Drosophila melanogaster: one gene and its partner. The protein of the gene in region 2 purifies or fractionates together with the protein of the main gene of each other region. This does not show direct contact. Each region holds a gene or a part of one and is shown on either strand. Other genes may lie near its edges.

Region 1 (8,277 bases), on a different chromosome or scaffold from region 2:
AGCCTTCTAACTCATATAGTAGATATAAAAAATCGCACATAATAAATATATTTATAATCTTAATAATCCAATTGGGTATACCCCTTTTGCTTTACAAAGAACAGGTACTCCAAATGTTCGCTTTTTTCGTTGTTGTTTTTTGGTTTGTTTTGAAAGGTTTTATGCCTTTAAGCCCATGTTTTTGTTGTTTATCCTTTGGGCCTAAATCATATTAATGAATTTTCTTTTGGTCATGATTTGGACCTCTATCAAGGTTGGAAAGGGCAGCGAATGGAAGTTTGGGAAACATTAATTACGCAAAATTAAATTTGATATCCTCGCATTAGCCGTGAATCAAGCAATGTACAAAACTGAAACGCTTCACCGGGTTTTATTTACTTTCGGAGGTTACTTTCTCCGAGTAAATGGCAAGTGAGGGTGCTTTCGTAGGGTCACCACTTGAGCGGCTTAGTTAAATTTATGTTTAAAAAAATAAAGGCAAAGGAAGAACAAGAAATAATAATTGCCTGCAATGCGAAATCCGCTTTTGGTCATTAGCGGAGTAGCCCGTTTTTTTTTTTTTTTTGGCGGCCAAAAGGGTGAAGTGTGGCAAAAGGGGTGAATGCGTGAGTGCGGGTTCGAAGGTTAGAGGTCAGCTGCCCCCTGAATTTATTTGCCACGCGCATTGCGGACCTCATTAGCAATAGTTTTGTTTGGCTTTGTCTGGTTTTCGGTTCAGTTCAGTTCAGTTCGGGCCGAAATGTTTATTTTAATCCCCCCCCTTGGCCAAATCCACACATAAATCATGGCCCAAACTGCACTGACAGTTGCGGCGCCATCGATGATGATGATGGCATTTTGTGGGCAGAGGCAGGGCTTTATCAGCGCTATAATAATTCCCGACTTGACTCCGTTCTGCGGCCCAACTAATTAGCCCACAAAGGGGGTTTCTGATGGGGCCAGTGGTCAGTGTCCACGGATAACGACAACCAATTTGAATGGAACCAACGCGAGTCAAGTCATTTCATATTCGGATTGTCTAAAAAGTTTGACAGCAGTTAGGTCATTTCTCGTTTCATTGGAAGTTAGTACATTTTAACTGATATGTTGTTCGCTATTCTGTTCACATTTTCATATTTTCAGAAGAGCGTTGTTATTTTAATTACTCTTCTATGACGTAGTCAACCTTGCGTAAGGTACCCTTATTGTATTATTTACCATGCCCCCCCACTTTATCATCCTTATTTCCTCTAGCAATTTATTCAGTTGCTATGCCTACTTTTTCAATTTAGCATGAGTCTCCTGCCTCATTTTTGCCGTATATCAGGTGTCCTTGGTAATACTAACCCATTTATTTATCGAGGCAAAAAAAAGTAGTAAAACATAAAGTACAGGAAGTTATTTTCTCCGTCTCACCCAGCTTACCCTCCCGCACCGCCTGTTTTCCTTCTTCGGCTTTGACTGTCATTCAGTGGGCGGAATGCAGGGTGGCTGGGGGGTTGGGGGTGGTGAAAGGTGGAGCTTGGCTGGTTAAACGAGGAGGAGGCCAATCAAGCTGCATGAGTGCATCCTACTGGAGCTCAGCTGCATCTTCCTCACACACACATACGCACAGAGCGGCAGGAACACGTGTGTGGCATCATCATTAACGGTACCGAAAGGATAGCTGTTTGAAAGGAGAGAAATGGGGGTCTCAGACTTTCTCCATTCACCTTGCCCCTTTCACCTGCCTGTTGTCTTTGCTGATTGCCTGCTAAAGGCAGATAGCAAGAAAGGAAAGGAGACTTAGTTAAATCCGAATTAAGTCAGATAACCGATCGTCAGAAGATTCCGGAGTATATCTGCTAACTGCCGGCAAAACAGGATGACATCAACGTGGAATGTTAAGTTTCATATATATTTCAGTATTTATTTATAATGCAGTTATTGTTACTAAGAATAGATTGTCTGCATACGTCTATTCTATTCTATTTCAAGCAGTAGGCGTGTATTTATCACGGCAGTTAAAATGGGGAATTCGATTTGAATTTGATTTTGATATCCAAAACGGATTTTCCAGTGCGGTAATTGCATATTTCGTGTTAAATCGGCTTATCCCCTTTTCGAAATGCTAATTTATTTGTCAATGTGCATGCATGTGTGTGTTTGTGTGTTGCCAAACTCCCATTTGTGAGTGTGTTGAGCCGAGCATGAATAATTCAAATCAAAATTAATTCGTTATTAGTTCGCAGCAAACACACACAAGCAACAGGCTTGAAGGGAAAGTGATGCAGGAGCAAAAAGCCTGCGCCACCAATAAGTATGGCCGGGCATAAAGCCACGGGCATAAAGCCAACCTCATTAGCAACTATGCATATATCTATGTTTGTATGTATGTACTTGGGAGTGGGCACAAACCTGGCTTCAATAGCGCCTTGGAAAATTTACATAAAACACTAAAAATATCAACAACAACGTCCGCTGTCAAAGTAAAGAAGCGAAAAAACGCTAAAGAAAAACTAGGAAAAATGAAATTCAAATAAACCTTAAAATTGACTTAGCAACGACGACAGCGGCGGCAGCGACAACAACAAAAACAACATCATTGGTGACAGAAGCAGCGTCAGCAGCAGCAAAAAAACAATACATATACACGTACATATACATATATATCTAGAAAAACCGCTCCATGACATCAACAAACAATCAGCGACTAAGAAAAATGAAAATGAAATGTAATGCATGAAAGCCTGGCTTAAATGAAAAGCGCAGGGTTAGCATTTGTTACTAAAATTAGTAGTTTTTTGGCGCAAAATCAAATGGGTTTAATCGCGGTGGCTCTTAAATCCTCCTTACCTGCTATTTATACTCTTCTGTCGTCTGGGGAGTTTTGGAGCCCACTGCGAATGCAACACATCGAACTCAAACAGGTTGGCAGACCAAAAATCAAAGCGAGGGTGGATTCAGAAGTTCTGTGGCTTTTTTAGCTTGTTTCTTATTGCTAAGTGGACTATAATACAGTATAAATAGTTACTATTTAGGAAGATTTTTCAGTAATTTTAAAATTCTATAATTGTATATATTATTATTCATTAGCTGACATAAAACTGACATATGAGTAGGCATATCAATCTTGTTAGCATTTTTGTGATTTAAGTTCACTAGCAAATGCATAGGCATATTTGCATTTAATGCATTTCGACCACTTTAAATTGTCGTATTAAACGCTAGTTACCTTAAAGTTGGGCCTGATTAAAGGTTCAATTACAACAGTTTTGTAATATCAATTTGTTTCTACTGCAGCTCAGCCCCAACACCCCAATCTTCGTTTTCTTTCGAACATGTTGGAGTTGCCGGCTACCATCGAACGCGTTTGAAGCCGGCTGCCATTGTGGGGCTGCTTCTCTGCCCTCCCTCTGTCGCGACGCTGCTGCCATTGGCGCTCGGCGTCGCTGCTCGGCTACAGTTTTCAGTTTGTTTATAAACTTTGTGCTGTGCGGATGTGTCGTCGCGCGCTTGTCGTCTGGGTAAATCAATCGCTCTGGAGAATCTCGCTACTAGCAACGTACTTTGAAACCACTAGCCAGCCGCTTGGCGGTCCGTTCTATCCCGTCCATCGTCCCGCCGTCGCTGCCGCTCCGACCAACCCAACGCCCACATCTGCGCCCACGCGGTCGAGGAAAAGCTGAGGAAAAGCGCGCGCGCGACAAGTGAAGCTCACAGGTTAGCTGTGCTCGTATGGGTGAAACAGTGAGGAATTGTGTTTACTTGTGTGATTTCTTTTGTTTGCTGGCCAATTGTGGGGCTTAATTGAATGCTTGTCTCATATGGGCCAACAGAACCCACAGGCTGCCAACATCAACAACAACAACAACAACTGCACAAGCCTACTCGAGTGTTTCGCAACGCCATAAAAAACACATATATATTGGAAATATAAAAAGAAGAAGAGGTGAAATACCAAAGCAGTACATATACAGGCACATATCGACGGGACGAGAAGAGAAGCTAAGCCAGAAATACTATATGTACATATAAGCAAATGGCATATAGCATATAGCTATAGCATACGAAAACCAGTTTCGAACCGCCGTAGCAGAATCGAAAGCAGCGCAGTCGCAGCGTTTTGACCGAGGTGAGTTGTTCAGTGGTGTGCGTGTGTATCTGTGTGTGTTTTACCGCCCACATGTCGCGGCTTTCGCTGCCGAAGTCGACGTCAACGCCAGCGGAGTAGCAAACTGGCTTTTGTCGTATGTGAAAAGTAACTTTAATTTGATCGGAGAATCTGTCCCTAAGCATTGCCCCTCTCCCCTCCCCAAAAAAACCCCTCTCTCCACTCTTTGCAAAAAATAAAAAATAAAAAACCACCAACAACTTGTTGAGGCATTCTTTATTTGACCAAGCAGAACCGGAGACAACTCTAATTTGATTCGAGAACCCAGAAAATGTAAATCATTTTGGAGCAACAACAAAACACCAGTAAACTAAACTAATTTGCACAGTTTTGCTTTTGCCAAACTTTGTCTCTCAATTTGGGCAAAAATAGATCAAAATTGCCAACTTTCAGATACACGAACTTTTTACACGCTTGCCGTTTTTACTACACTTTTCAGTCATCATATTCAATCGGTTAATTAATCATATAAAAACTTTAGGTTTGAATATCGTTCAAGTTCGGAAAATATTAAATATGTATAATATTAAAATAAGTATTAAAAATTTGTAATACAAGAATTTCTGGATTTATTTTGAATTAAATCTCGAACTTAATTGAATTAAGATTATATTTGCAAACTCAATAACCATTTTTTGTCAAAAAATGATACTACTGTATGTAAGGGCAATAAAAAAACTAATTTAGACAAGAGAAGGCAACAACAACCTATAGCAAAGGCAAAACAACAACAAAAGAACCTACAACAAAACACGAAAAGCTCCGAAAAGTTTTTAATTGTCAACTTTAAGCCGAAGCCAACTTTTCAGGAATATGGAAGAGTTGTTTTTTCCTTTTTTTTGGGTGAACTTCTTCCTCCTTCGCAGTCTCTTATTTAGCCCTTTTTATGGCGAGGTACTAACTAATTGAAATTTACTTAACTCGTTCTTATCCCCACTGTCTACTTAGTTTTCCCCATCGTGGGGCTAGTATTGGGAGCATGAATTGTTTGCTCTTCAATGTATTGTAGAACAATTTGGCTTTGCTTGCCTGCATTATTTATTGGCCTAATCAATACCTGATTAACGAGGGAAATTCAATGAAGTAATGTTGAATCGAATTAACTGGGCCGAGAGTTCCACTATCTTATATATTTACTACATACGCCTAACCAATATAGCCCCCAGAATAATTACATTGTAATAAATACATTGTACCTTACGGCATTTAATATTGAAGTCAATCACTGTGCACAATTTTTTTAAGGACATCAGATACTTTGACTACCTCCGTTGCGGTCTTCATCTTTTTTGCGCACTCACTTAATTATCTTTCAATCCCTGTATCCCGATCTACCCCAATGTTGCCCCGCTGCTTGCGCCTTTTTAATTTGTTTGGCCTGCTTTTGCCGAGACTTTATGTACTCGTATTTCACAGTTTGCCTCAATTACGGACTCCTGTGCCCCTGTCTTCGTCCTCCTTGTATGGTGTGTCCATGGTGTCCATGGACCTGCATCCATGCGTCTACTTTTTATGGGGAACTTTTGTTTTCGTGCCATTTTTCATATACTTTCGCTAGCTACGCACAAATTAAAAGTTTATGCAGCCAGAATGATGATGGGAGTTGGGTAGGTTAATATGCAGGCTGTTTGGGATGCAGTGCATCTGCCACTGGAGCCGAGGACTAAAACTGCCAACTAGCCCAGCAAGCCAGACTTAATGCGCAACAATATTTTTTCTATCGCACAGCAGCAGGCCAAAACTTTATCCAGCCACCGAATATTTCCCCCCTGAAGCCTTCGTCCTTTAGCACACGCCCTCTCGTCCTTATATCGCCAACACTTTCACCGGGCAAATATTTGGAATACATTTGCTGCAGTTGCCAAGGGACAGACTTTTGGCATAATTTGTATGCAAAAATCTCAAATAATATACATGGTACGACACCCACTCGAACGTGTGTGTGTGTGGATGGGTGTATCTACGCATCCGAGGGATGTCCCTGCTGGTGACAGTTTATAATTTCAATCAGTGTCACACTTGTGACAACTTGTTATGTTTTATTGCCCTGGCCAGGAAGGAAGTCCATATCCTTGAACCCTTTTCAGCAAATTCAATGGATATTTATTTCGGTGGCAAATGTTCATGATCTGTTTTTGCCCCATTTCCGCCCATTCCATTCGCAAAGCCAATGAAAGAAAAACAAAGAATATTTTCTTTAATTACTTCTCATGCCATTCTCATGTCCAGCCAAGGATATATTTGCAAAAATGGCAATCAAATACATTTACATTTATGGAGCGATAACTTTGGACTTTCGACTTGACAGCATGGGAGAAAGGGTTATACTTTCTGTGGTTGAAACTGAGCTACAAAAATAGTTACCTTTGTTTTGAGATATTTACTTAGCTTGTGGCTTGGCCAAGGGATGTAGGTAATTGCAGTGCTCTCTCTGCTTCAAACTGGGCAATTGCGGATAGAATTCTGGTCAGGTGGTTGCAATGATTGCCAATGAGTCGAAACCAGAAATATCTGAGTGTTTTAATTAAATTGCCAAAAATGTTCTTCTTTTTGGACAAAGAATATTGCAAGCCAAAGGAAATTGAATGAAAATATGCAGCTAGAAAAGTCAAACTAAAATCAATTCAACAAATGACTAAACATTCTGCCGCGAAACCAATGCAATTATTGCAGTAAATAAAATCTTAAATGATTATACAAAGTATATATTCTCAGATACTTGATGAAAGGTTAATAATCCATATCTTATAAATCTTCCATTACCAAGCAATTGATATAATTTAGAAGTAACTTACATCAGTCACAGATAAGTGGAAATCGCTTGTTTAATTTTCCATGTTTCCTGTCAATCAAAGTCAGTCAAGAATTAAGGATAAGCGTACTGCAACTTGATCCCAGCCTGCAATCTGCAACTAGAAGTTTGTAGAGGGGGGCAGTTACGCAGCTGCTATTGTTGTGTAGCTTGGAAGACAATTTCAACTAAATTGCAAGTGCTTCAAATGCGAAGGAATGAGTGGGGCTAAAACCAGCTAGCTAGCACAAAATTCAGATACAACCAGCGGGGGAAACCCGCAGAACTGATTCTGATTTCATGGGGAAAATATTTGCAGCAAAAATATACAATAACCAATGTCCCGACAGTGGAGATGAGTCAGGAAAGAAGGTGGAATAAATATTACATAAAGTGATTTAAGCCTGCCGGGGACATTCAATTCAATCGACTGGCAGAACCTTAAAGAATCTGGGGCTTGGCAAACATTTGCATAAAATCACAATTAAAGCCTTTGCCGGCTGCCTTTAATTGTTTTGTATCTCTCAGATACATTGTGTAAGCCATGCCGCATACATTATCTTTATCTCTCACCCGACTGGCTGGCTGCATTTATCCACCGCCCCCCACCCCGCACTTACCACTCCCCTGCTGTGTCTGCGCAAAAAAAAAAGTGTAAACAAAATAAAAAACGCGGAGGCGTCGATGCGAATTTATGACTCACGGCTTGATTTTTCTCTCCATTTTCCTCGCCGTTTCTGTGGCTGTTGCTGATGTATCTGTATCTTGCAACTGCAACTGCGGCAACGTAATTGTCGCTTACGTGTTAAAGAGGTGTGCTACTAAAGTTCCGGTGGGTAGAGAATTCTTCTCCGTTTCGCATCTCTTTTTTTCCATCTTTAGCTTTGGCACGCCGAAATGTCTCTCTATGCGTTTTCCGTCTGAGCCACATTTGCCTTTGAGGCATGCCACAAGTCTGGCCCCCTCCCCGCGCCACCACCACCCTTTTCAGCCACGGTCAGGTGTGTGCATGATTCGGTGTATGTGTGGGTGAAACGTGCCACAAGCAGCCAGCTTCGTGAAAATTTTCTTTTCTCATTTCTGCGCGCTCTGCTTTCTCCATTATCTATTTACTCCGGAAATTCTACAGGGTAGCAAAAGTTGTTGGTTCTATTCAAATTTAAAATGGGAGTTCAGATGAAATACAGTGTTATCATATTTATTCAAAGTGGAAAAAAAATTTTCTAAATATAATCTTATTAAAAAATTCTTCTTTTATCTAAAATTCGTGTTATATCAGGACATTTTCAACTAACCCACATTTTATGGTTTTTAATAGGTATCTTTTTTTTACCTGCTTTTACATCCTTAATTC
Region 2 (8,145 bases):
TGGAAAATGGAACGATTTGGTCGTGCACTTCGGCTATTAACTAACAAGTTATTACTTCGAGCTGAGTGAGTGCCACAAAGGGCTGACTGGCTGACTGGTTGGCTGTTCTGGCGATTCTCCGCATTTTGCGGCTGACTGAAAGCCGCCAGTTGGCCCCATGAAATGGCCATGTTGACCAAGTGGTCGTTGCCCCAGCAACCAACATTCACAAACAGGTTTTCTTGCCACAACGCTTCTTCTACGTCATCGCCGTTTATCGTGTTCCATGTTCCCGTTCTCGTTTTGCCTTCGACTTTGAGTTGGCCATAAACAATGCAGCGCGTTTGCAAACAGGAAGAGGAAACGGCAGCAGGACAAATAAAAACAGAGCGACCATCAAAGGATTCGGACCACTCCTCCGAATTGCCACCACTCCGCTTCCTAATTGCGAGTGAGTGTGCCAAACCTAATTGCTTGCAAATATTTTGAAACTCAAACACACAGCTGCCGCCTGTGGCATCTGAGGAATTTCATTATGCACAGCAAGCGAATATGCATGATTTCCATTATCCATCAAATTTAAAGGGGGGGCCAACTAATCTCGTGCACGGCCTGTTGAGATCTCGAGTTTAGCATCAATTGCGTATCGAAATGTTTAAGCATAAATATTATTACCATTAAGACTGGCACCCTTGCGTTTGATGGCAAAATTGGAGTACTTGATCTCATGCTCACTTGAGTCTAATTCGCAATTTGCCAGCAAACGCAATTTGCATGAAAGTTAATCAAGAATTTTCACCGAGGGAGAGTTTTCTGGACAAATACATAGTACTCCGCCGTAGACCGCGTTTCAGGTTCAGACACCCCGAAGTGATCTGTGCGCGAGATTCTCGCGCATAATTGAACAATTAAAGTTAATTTAGCATGATCCTCGATCCCTCGACGAGCGATAAGTATCTGAAAGATTCTCCGCTTCCGTTCGGAACAACAATGCCCCAATACGAATGGCGACAGCTGCCAGCCAGCGTTTGAAAATTCAGCAAAAAGTGAATTCAATTTCGCGTTGCTTTCTTTGCAGCTATCAGCTATCAGCTATGAGCCATCTCTTGTTTTCATTCGATGGGCCAAGGTGAGGTTTATTATGGCAGCCGATTTTGCATGGAGCAGCAGATACACATGTGCTTATACGGCAGATTGCCCCACGGTGCGCCGGGTTTTCAGGTGCCAGGTGCAAACACTGCATATGTCTGTGTTTACTCAATGGCCATCTACCATCTAGCAACTTGGTTTACCCATTCAATGTAACATACATGGGTTATACCTTAAAAAAAAAAGTGAAAAATAACCAATCGATTTGCATGGCAACGCACAAATTGGCATGGACCCGGGTCCCTCAACACCCCGAATACCAAAGAACCGGTGGACTGGCGAGCGGAAACGCTTGATTAGGGGTTCCTCAATGGGCACCACAGCCTGGGCGGGACGAAATGCGTTTCCAACCGGCTGATGGGATCAGGGGTTGTTTAGATGGAGGGGCATGGGCATGGCATGGGCATAGAAGGGCTCGAACCGCTCGCGGCTTGTTTGTTTGCATCTCTTACATTGTACTCGCCCCGGGAACCGCCGACCTTTGTTTGGGTTACCTTTTTAGCTTGTAATTTATATATATTTTGTATACTTCGATTGTATTTTGCCGGCTATCAAAATAAGAATTATGTAGCCGAGCAATACGAATGGTGGGAAGGGGAGGAGGTGTGGTGTTACCCAGGGTTGTGGGCCTGGGAGATTCTTTTGCAGGGGGCGCAGCCCATTTGCCATGCTCTCAGGATCCCTTTGTTTGCGTATGTTTGCTGTTTACTCGTTCCACCTCTGAGTTTCATTTTTCAGCTTTTTCATTTTTCATTTTTTTATACCACCCAAAAGCCCAGACCGTGTCTGATGTGTAAGAAACAGCCCTCTGCCGCAACGTTTTTGCACGGGTTGTTTGCCCGGAGTCGCAGAGTCGCAGAGTCGCAGATGAGGAGACCCGGAGACCATCAAACGGTCCGTGGAACGTTTTCAAGTTGCGGAAGCAATTGCGCGTGCTGAAGTTGTCGAATGCCTCAGAAACTCGAATGGGAATGGAAATGCGAAACGTGAAAAGCGGCACAAAGGCTGTGCAGTCGGAGCTCCTCGTCACGCCCACCTCTGTGTACACCTCTATGTCCTCGATGGCCTCGGAACTGCAACTCCCCCAACGACGATAGCCCTTGGAAAACATTTGACTCGGCTCGTTGGCGCATTTCAAAGCGCTGCTGGACGTGAAACTGTGCTGTTTGCCTAAGCGCTTTAAATTAGAGCGTGGAAAAGTGTGAAACTCCTGGCAAATACTGGACCTCAAACCCGGAGCCCTTTGATTTATGGCGGAATAAAGTTAAGCCATTCCTGGCCAGCCGTGGAGCGTATCCAACTGGTTGCGGTTGGGTTTTATAGCTTGTAACGCGGGGCACGCCTGGTTTTTATTTCATCATTTTTTTGTTTTGAACCCACAGAAGGAGCCCTCAATGCCGTGGCAATTAAAGATTGCACAAGCCGAAGCTGATAGCTGATAGATACAAAGCCCCGGGAATTAAGCTGGCTATCGGATGTAACGAAGCCCAGGTAGGGTGTGTCCGCGAGTCGGTTCTGGGTAATGAGTAACTCTCGGATTAGTTACACTAATTGCTTTCCAAATGACGCTGCAATCTTGTTAAGGACAGCCATTATGTTTTGCCCGAGGGTCGGAGTTCAGGTAAAGATCGCATCGAGATCGCTATGGAACAGCAGCACCTGTATGGGATTAACCTAGCGAGAAGATTCTATTGTTCCATCTACCTGGGCACCAAATTACTTTAGTGTTTTATTAGCTTTTCTCTTCCTTTCGAGAATTTCTGGATGGACAAGTAAACGCAAACAATTTGTAGATAGCATTTGCACTTGTCCGAAACGGAGTTTCCCGAGAAATATGGACCGTTTTCTTGGAATGGGAGGAACATAAAGAAGGTGAAGAAAAATAAATTTATTATTTCTGGCATGTACATATATAACCCCCCCATTTGGGTTTTTCCAAACTCGTCAAGTGTATGGATAAGAAATTTCATTTTGCGCAAATATCGATGATACATTATTCTAATAATCAAAAGAACATGTATTTATACAAAAGCCAAATATCATACATATGTACGTGCTGATTTCTTCAAAAGTAATGAATAATAAAATGGATTTAGAAAGAGAGAAGCTAGAATTGAGTTCCTTGCTAAGTTAAATAACAATCAAACTTTTTCGCACAACTTAATGTATTCTTGAGCTAACAAACTTGCTAGAAATTAGATTTTCCCTTGTTATTTGGTTAGACCTCTTTGCGAAACAATCTTCTAAGGCCCAACAAGGTAAACAAAGGGTAGCATGTGTATGTTTTCGAACGACAGAAGTTGGAAAACGGCCTAAAATGAAAAATCAATCTGCTGTTGCGAAACTCAGCCCTCGAAACAGGTGGGGGGTGGCAGGGCAGGGCTAGACCCCGTTTACCAGAACAGCCAGCCCAAGCCGAGTAAACAAAACTGAAAAACTAAGGTGACGCCTGAGTGAGTCACGGTCACTCACACTGGAGCCCAGAGCATCGAGCCCAGTTAAAAGCCCCCATTCCCAGCCATCCCAGCTAAAACCTAATGCCAAAGCGGGACGGACAGAGCTACCTGACCAGAGAGCGGGAGCCAAGAGAACGGAGAGAGAGAGAGAGCGAAGAGGGAGAGAGAGAAGTGGAGAACGCGCCCCACCAAACGAAAGCTGACTTAGCCAGCGTACCCAGCGTAACCCAAGATAATCACCCACAAATAAATGAAGAAACTCACCAGTTGGCAGAATGGCATTGTTCTCGCGCCTCCAGGTGATGGTGGGTGTGGGATAGCCGCTGGCGTAGCACTCCATCTGGACCTCGCTGCCCTCGCTGGCCACCACCGACTGCGTGGAGTTGTCCGAGATGACGGGGGGACGGCGCACCGATAGCTTCACTTCGGCGCTCACTTTGTGAACGGTGGAGATCACCACCTGGCAGGTGTAGGTGCCCGCGTCCGTCTCCTGAATGTCCTTGATCTGCAGCTTGTAGGTGGACGAGTTGGGATCGTACCGCAGCGAGAAGCGCGAATCCTTGATGACCAGCGTGGAGCCCGTGGAGAGGAAGACGGGATCGCTGTCCGTCTTCAGGAACAGCACGTTGTACTCTTTGGCATACTGGACGGAGCAATCGAACTCCACTGTGCCGCCGATATCCTTGATCTGCTCCTGCGTGATGTAGGATATGGTCGGGGTTCGCTGTGCTAGCGTTTGCTGCACAAAAATGGCCAGGAGCAGGGTGCTCCACACGCAATTCGAGATACTCGGCCGCCACATCTTAGAAATTGACTTTTAGCACCACACCCTGCAAGCGCGCGATTTAATATATGTAGTGTTTCTCAAGAGCTGCGCTCCAAGATCTCAATCTTCTCCAAATAGGGTGAGAGCGCGGCGAAGACGTCTCCAAGAAACCGAAGACAACTATTGCCGTTTCTTTCTTGAGCACAGCAAACGCGGATGCTGAACTGCAGTCTCCACACTTGTCTTCTCGCTCAGAGCTGGTTTCAGACTTCTTCTCTCGATCAGTCACGAGTTTTGGCCAAGACGGAGATAACGCGCCGGAGAGACAACTTCACAGTTCGAAAGTCGCGAAACGAATGAATCTCTGGCTTTGAAAAGTGCGCCATCAAGAGCGCAACTTGCCTGGAGATGGGCACCTTGAATGTGCCTAAATAAAGACAGTAGTGTTATCGGTATGCAACATAGCTCAGACTCAAACCAGAGATAGCATATGGTTGATATACTAAGTGGAGACACACACTCGAAAATCAGATGGCAACGCCATTCCTCTTGGAACCAATGGCATCCTCAAATTAATTTGAAATTTAAAATGAAATTTCAAGCTAGTAACTTCATTTCAAAATAAAAACGTTCATTCTTTGTGATTGTTTAAAATGCCTTTTTATTTAATTTTCTCTTTCTTGTTATTTTATTCAGTAGTTATGTATAAGTTCTATAAATGTCGGATTTTCTCTATATCGTGCTCTATGCCGTTACGATTATATGGTATAACTTTTTTGTATGAATGCATATTATAAATGGATAATATATAAATCGTGTTTAGTTTTTCGTTTTAGTGTTCAACATTGGGCTTCTCTTTCATGTGATTCAAATAGTTGTTGGCTTTATCGTATCTCAAAGTGTATAATGTATATATATATATAATGTAGAGCATTTAGAATTTGATTTTAGGTTCTCAACAAGTTGCTAGTTATTAAGTACATAATATGTCAATGTCTATATCGTATTTGTATTACGCATTACGTGATTTGATTTTCCATTTGTTAAGTTTCTTGGTAATAAATATCCGCTGACGGGGGCGCTTACACAATCTAAAAGCCAATTACGAATCGCGGAAACCTAAAATTAAAACACCATACCTCTTATTGCCCTTTAGCAGTACGATCGTAAAAGTTTCAACGAGATTCAATGGTTTTGCGACTTCGAAGAGCAGTGCAACTGCAAGTCTTTTTTATCAGCTATATTCATATCTTTTGCTTCAGTAAAATAATCATATAGATGCATATATCCGTTTACATATCTGTGTTTTCTGTGTAGATAGCAATCTTCAAAGTATAAATTATAATGATTAAGGTAGTGTAGGCTACGGCTCAGTAAAATAATCAATAAATAAATTGCTCTAAGTCAACGTATGAGTTAAGGTAAGGTAGAAAGCTAAGCGAGAATTCGTCTTCATCCATCCAGCTGCCTCTGGAGATTCCCAGTCCTGCGGTTTCCACTGGTAGCCAGTTCTTAGTTCTTCTGCGAATTAAGACTCCATTGTGCAAACTGCTCCTGCCATTGGCTATTCGCATTTGCCTGTGGAAACATAGAAATCTGTATTAAAATAAGTCATCGAAGCCTCATGTTTTCTCTTTAATCGTACTCAAGATCTTTGGCATGCAAGGCAATTGGAAAGTAGCAATCACTACACTAGCTACAGGATATATAGATATATATTCGAATTATGTTTCGGATATCGAGTGCATGTACAGAGAGAAATAGATAAATAAGGATAGACAACGGCAAAGAACAACATCTAGATCAACAGTGAGCAGGATTTCATGGCGAAATCCTTTACCTTTTCATTCCACTCTTGGTTATACGATTGAGATTCGTCGAAATCTGAAATTGATCAAGTTTGCGGTGAGCATATGTATTATCGGTATCATGGCTCAAATCAAAATCAGACAATTTATTCGAATCCTTTGAGTCAAGCAGCCAACGTGAATCAAATCTAGAGACTAACTAGGATGAGCTGACTGAGATTGATTGATATATATATAGAGAGAGAGAGAGACGGTTGAGAGTGCAGCAATGATGATGAGCTATGTTGTAGAACTATAGAAGTAACTATAGATAGAGCCCCGACTGGAAACTACCTGAGGTGGAGTGGAAGTTCGTGAGTCGAGCGAGCTACGATGGTCTATACTGTAGAGGCAGCAGTAGATTTTGCATATTTTACCTGATCACAGAGTATATATATAACCTACGACGAACACTTTATATATTCAGACTATACTTCATGATATAAGCATGCATGATCAGCTGCAGTTCATCGATTGTCTCACCGATCTCGTGCAGCGCCGGGAAACCGGCCTGCTCATCGTCGATGAACAGTTCGGGGTGGTTGCGATAGCCCAGGATGCGGTTCACCTGGGACAGCTCCTCGCCCTGCCCGAAAGTGTAATCAAAGTGGTCCTCCTCGTGAACGCCGCTAGTAGGGAACAAGGAGTATGCATTCCCAAATGGAGCTGCAGCTCCCTCGCACTCGAGATCCTCGTCGGTGCGGAACACCTCCTCGTACTCCCCGCACTCGCAATCGTTGCACTCGCACTGACTCGAGTCCTCGGACTCGCCACCCTCGATGTGTCGGAATTCTTAATCGGATTTTTTGGGCGATTTTGTTTTTTGTTTGTTTTGATTTGGTTTGGTTTTTTGGATGGGCAGGGTTCCCCGATTTAACATACAGAAGAAATGAGCGAAAATTATAAAGGGCAACTAACCAAACTGGGAGGAGCTCAATATTTGCAGCATTTTTTCTTATGCCGTCTATTGGGGTAATAATCTAAAATCAAATGGTTTGGAAAAAAAAACGAAGAAAACAAAACGGAAAATTGATCGCTTTAGAGAAGTGGGAACCAGCAGGAGTTGGAGGAGCGTTTCAGTTCGGATCGATGCAGCCCGGGACAACTTACCCAGTGGCATGATGAAGCGAGCCTGCGGTATGGAGCTCGCCGGCTGGGGACCCAGCTGCTGTGCCCTTCCCCGTCCTGGAAAATGGCCAGACCCAAAGACACAATACGCACACCGAAAAAGAACACGGATAAGCACAGAGTGAAAACATTCCATTTGGAGCTGGGATTGTGTTTGGTTTGGTGGCTCTAGAAGCGGTGCTACTACGAAATCTACGTGCTGGTGCAGTGCAGATCACCATTCACGAGCAACTCTGGGAAAACAGGAGCAAGGAACAGGAGCAGCAGATGCAGATGCAATTGCAGTTGCAGTTTTGGAAGCGTAAGCGATTGGTTAGATGGGTTCGAATCCAACGATTTACCTGCGTTCAGGTCGCTGACCATGTGCGAAATGGCCGACGTTAGATGATCGGCAGCCTCATTGAGCTCCGCGTCGGGATTCAGATTCGGATTCTGATTCGAAATCGGATTGAGGCTGGGAATGGCACTGACATTGGCAGTGGCAGTGGTGGTGCGCATTGGCGGTGGCGCTGCGAAGGCGAAGCGATCAAGAAACGAGTGTGTTTTTGGGCGTGAGAGCGTGTGTTTCGGGTGAATTGGTCAGGTGATATTCGTTTGGGTTATTGGTTTTTGGGTGTGTGTTTTGCCAGTGGCGGTGTTACCGCATTGTTGAGCGGAATATACGATTAATATCTGTCTGAACCCAGGCCTAAACTTTCGCGTTAACCAATTTCACACAGGGGATTTCAGAATTTGGACATGAACGAACCTAACCGATGAGTAACCCAAGGGTCCGTACCTCCAATCTCTACTCACTTGCACTTCCGTTGGCGGCGAAGGC

Evidence for each region.
Region 1: the proteins of Lac (region 2) and CG6959 purify together in Drosophila melanogaster (affinity purification with western blotting; one large-scale study listed by BioGRID). This does not show direct contact.

The regions. Positions count from the first base shown.
Region 1 is NT_033777.3:11,864,611-11,872,887, reverse strand, and holds the start of CG6959 (uncharacterized protein), read left to right. Parts: upstream 1-3,427; 5' UTR 3,428-4,093; intron 4,094-8,277.
Region 2 is NT_033778.4:12,449,758-12,457,902, reverse strand, and holds the start of Lac (lachesin), read right to left. Parts: upstream 4,714-8,145; 5' UTR 4,387-4,713; coding exon 3,849-4,386; intron 1-3,848. Other genes in the region: Dyb (dystrobrevin), read right to left, coding at 6,613-6,989, 7,308-7,382, 7,667-7,834, 8,121-8,145. UniProt on the Drosophila melanogaster protein: Required for normal tracheal development and maintenance of the trans-epithelial diffusion barrier. Functions as a homophilic cell-adhesion molecule. May play a role in early neuronal differentiation and axon outgrowth.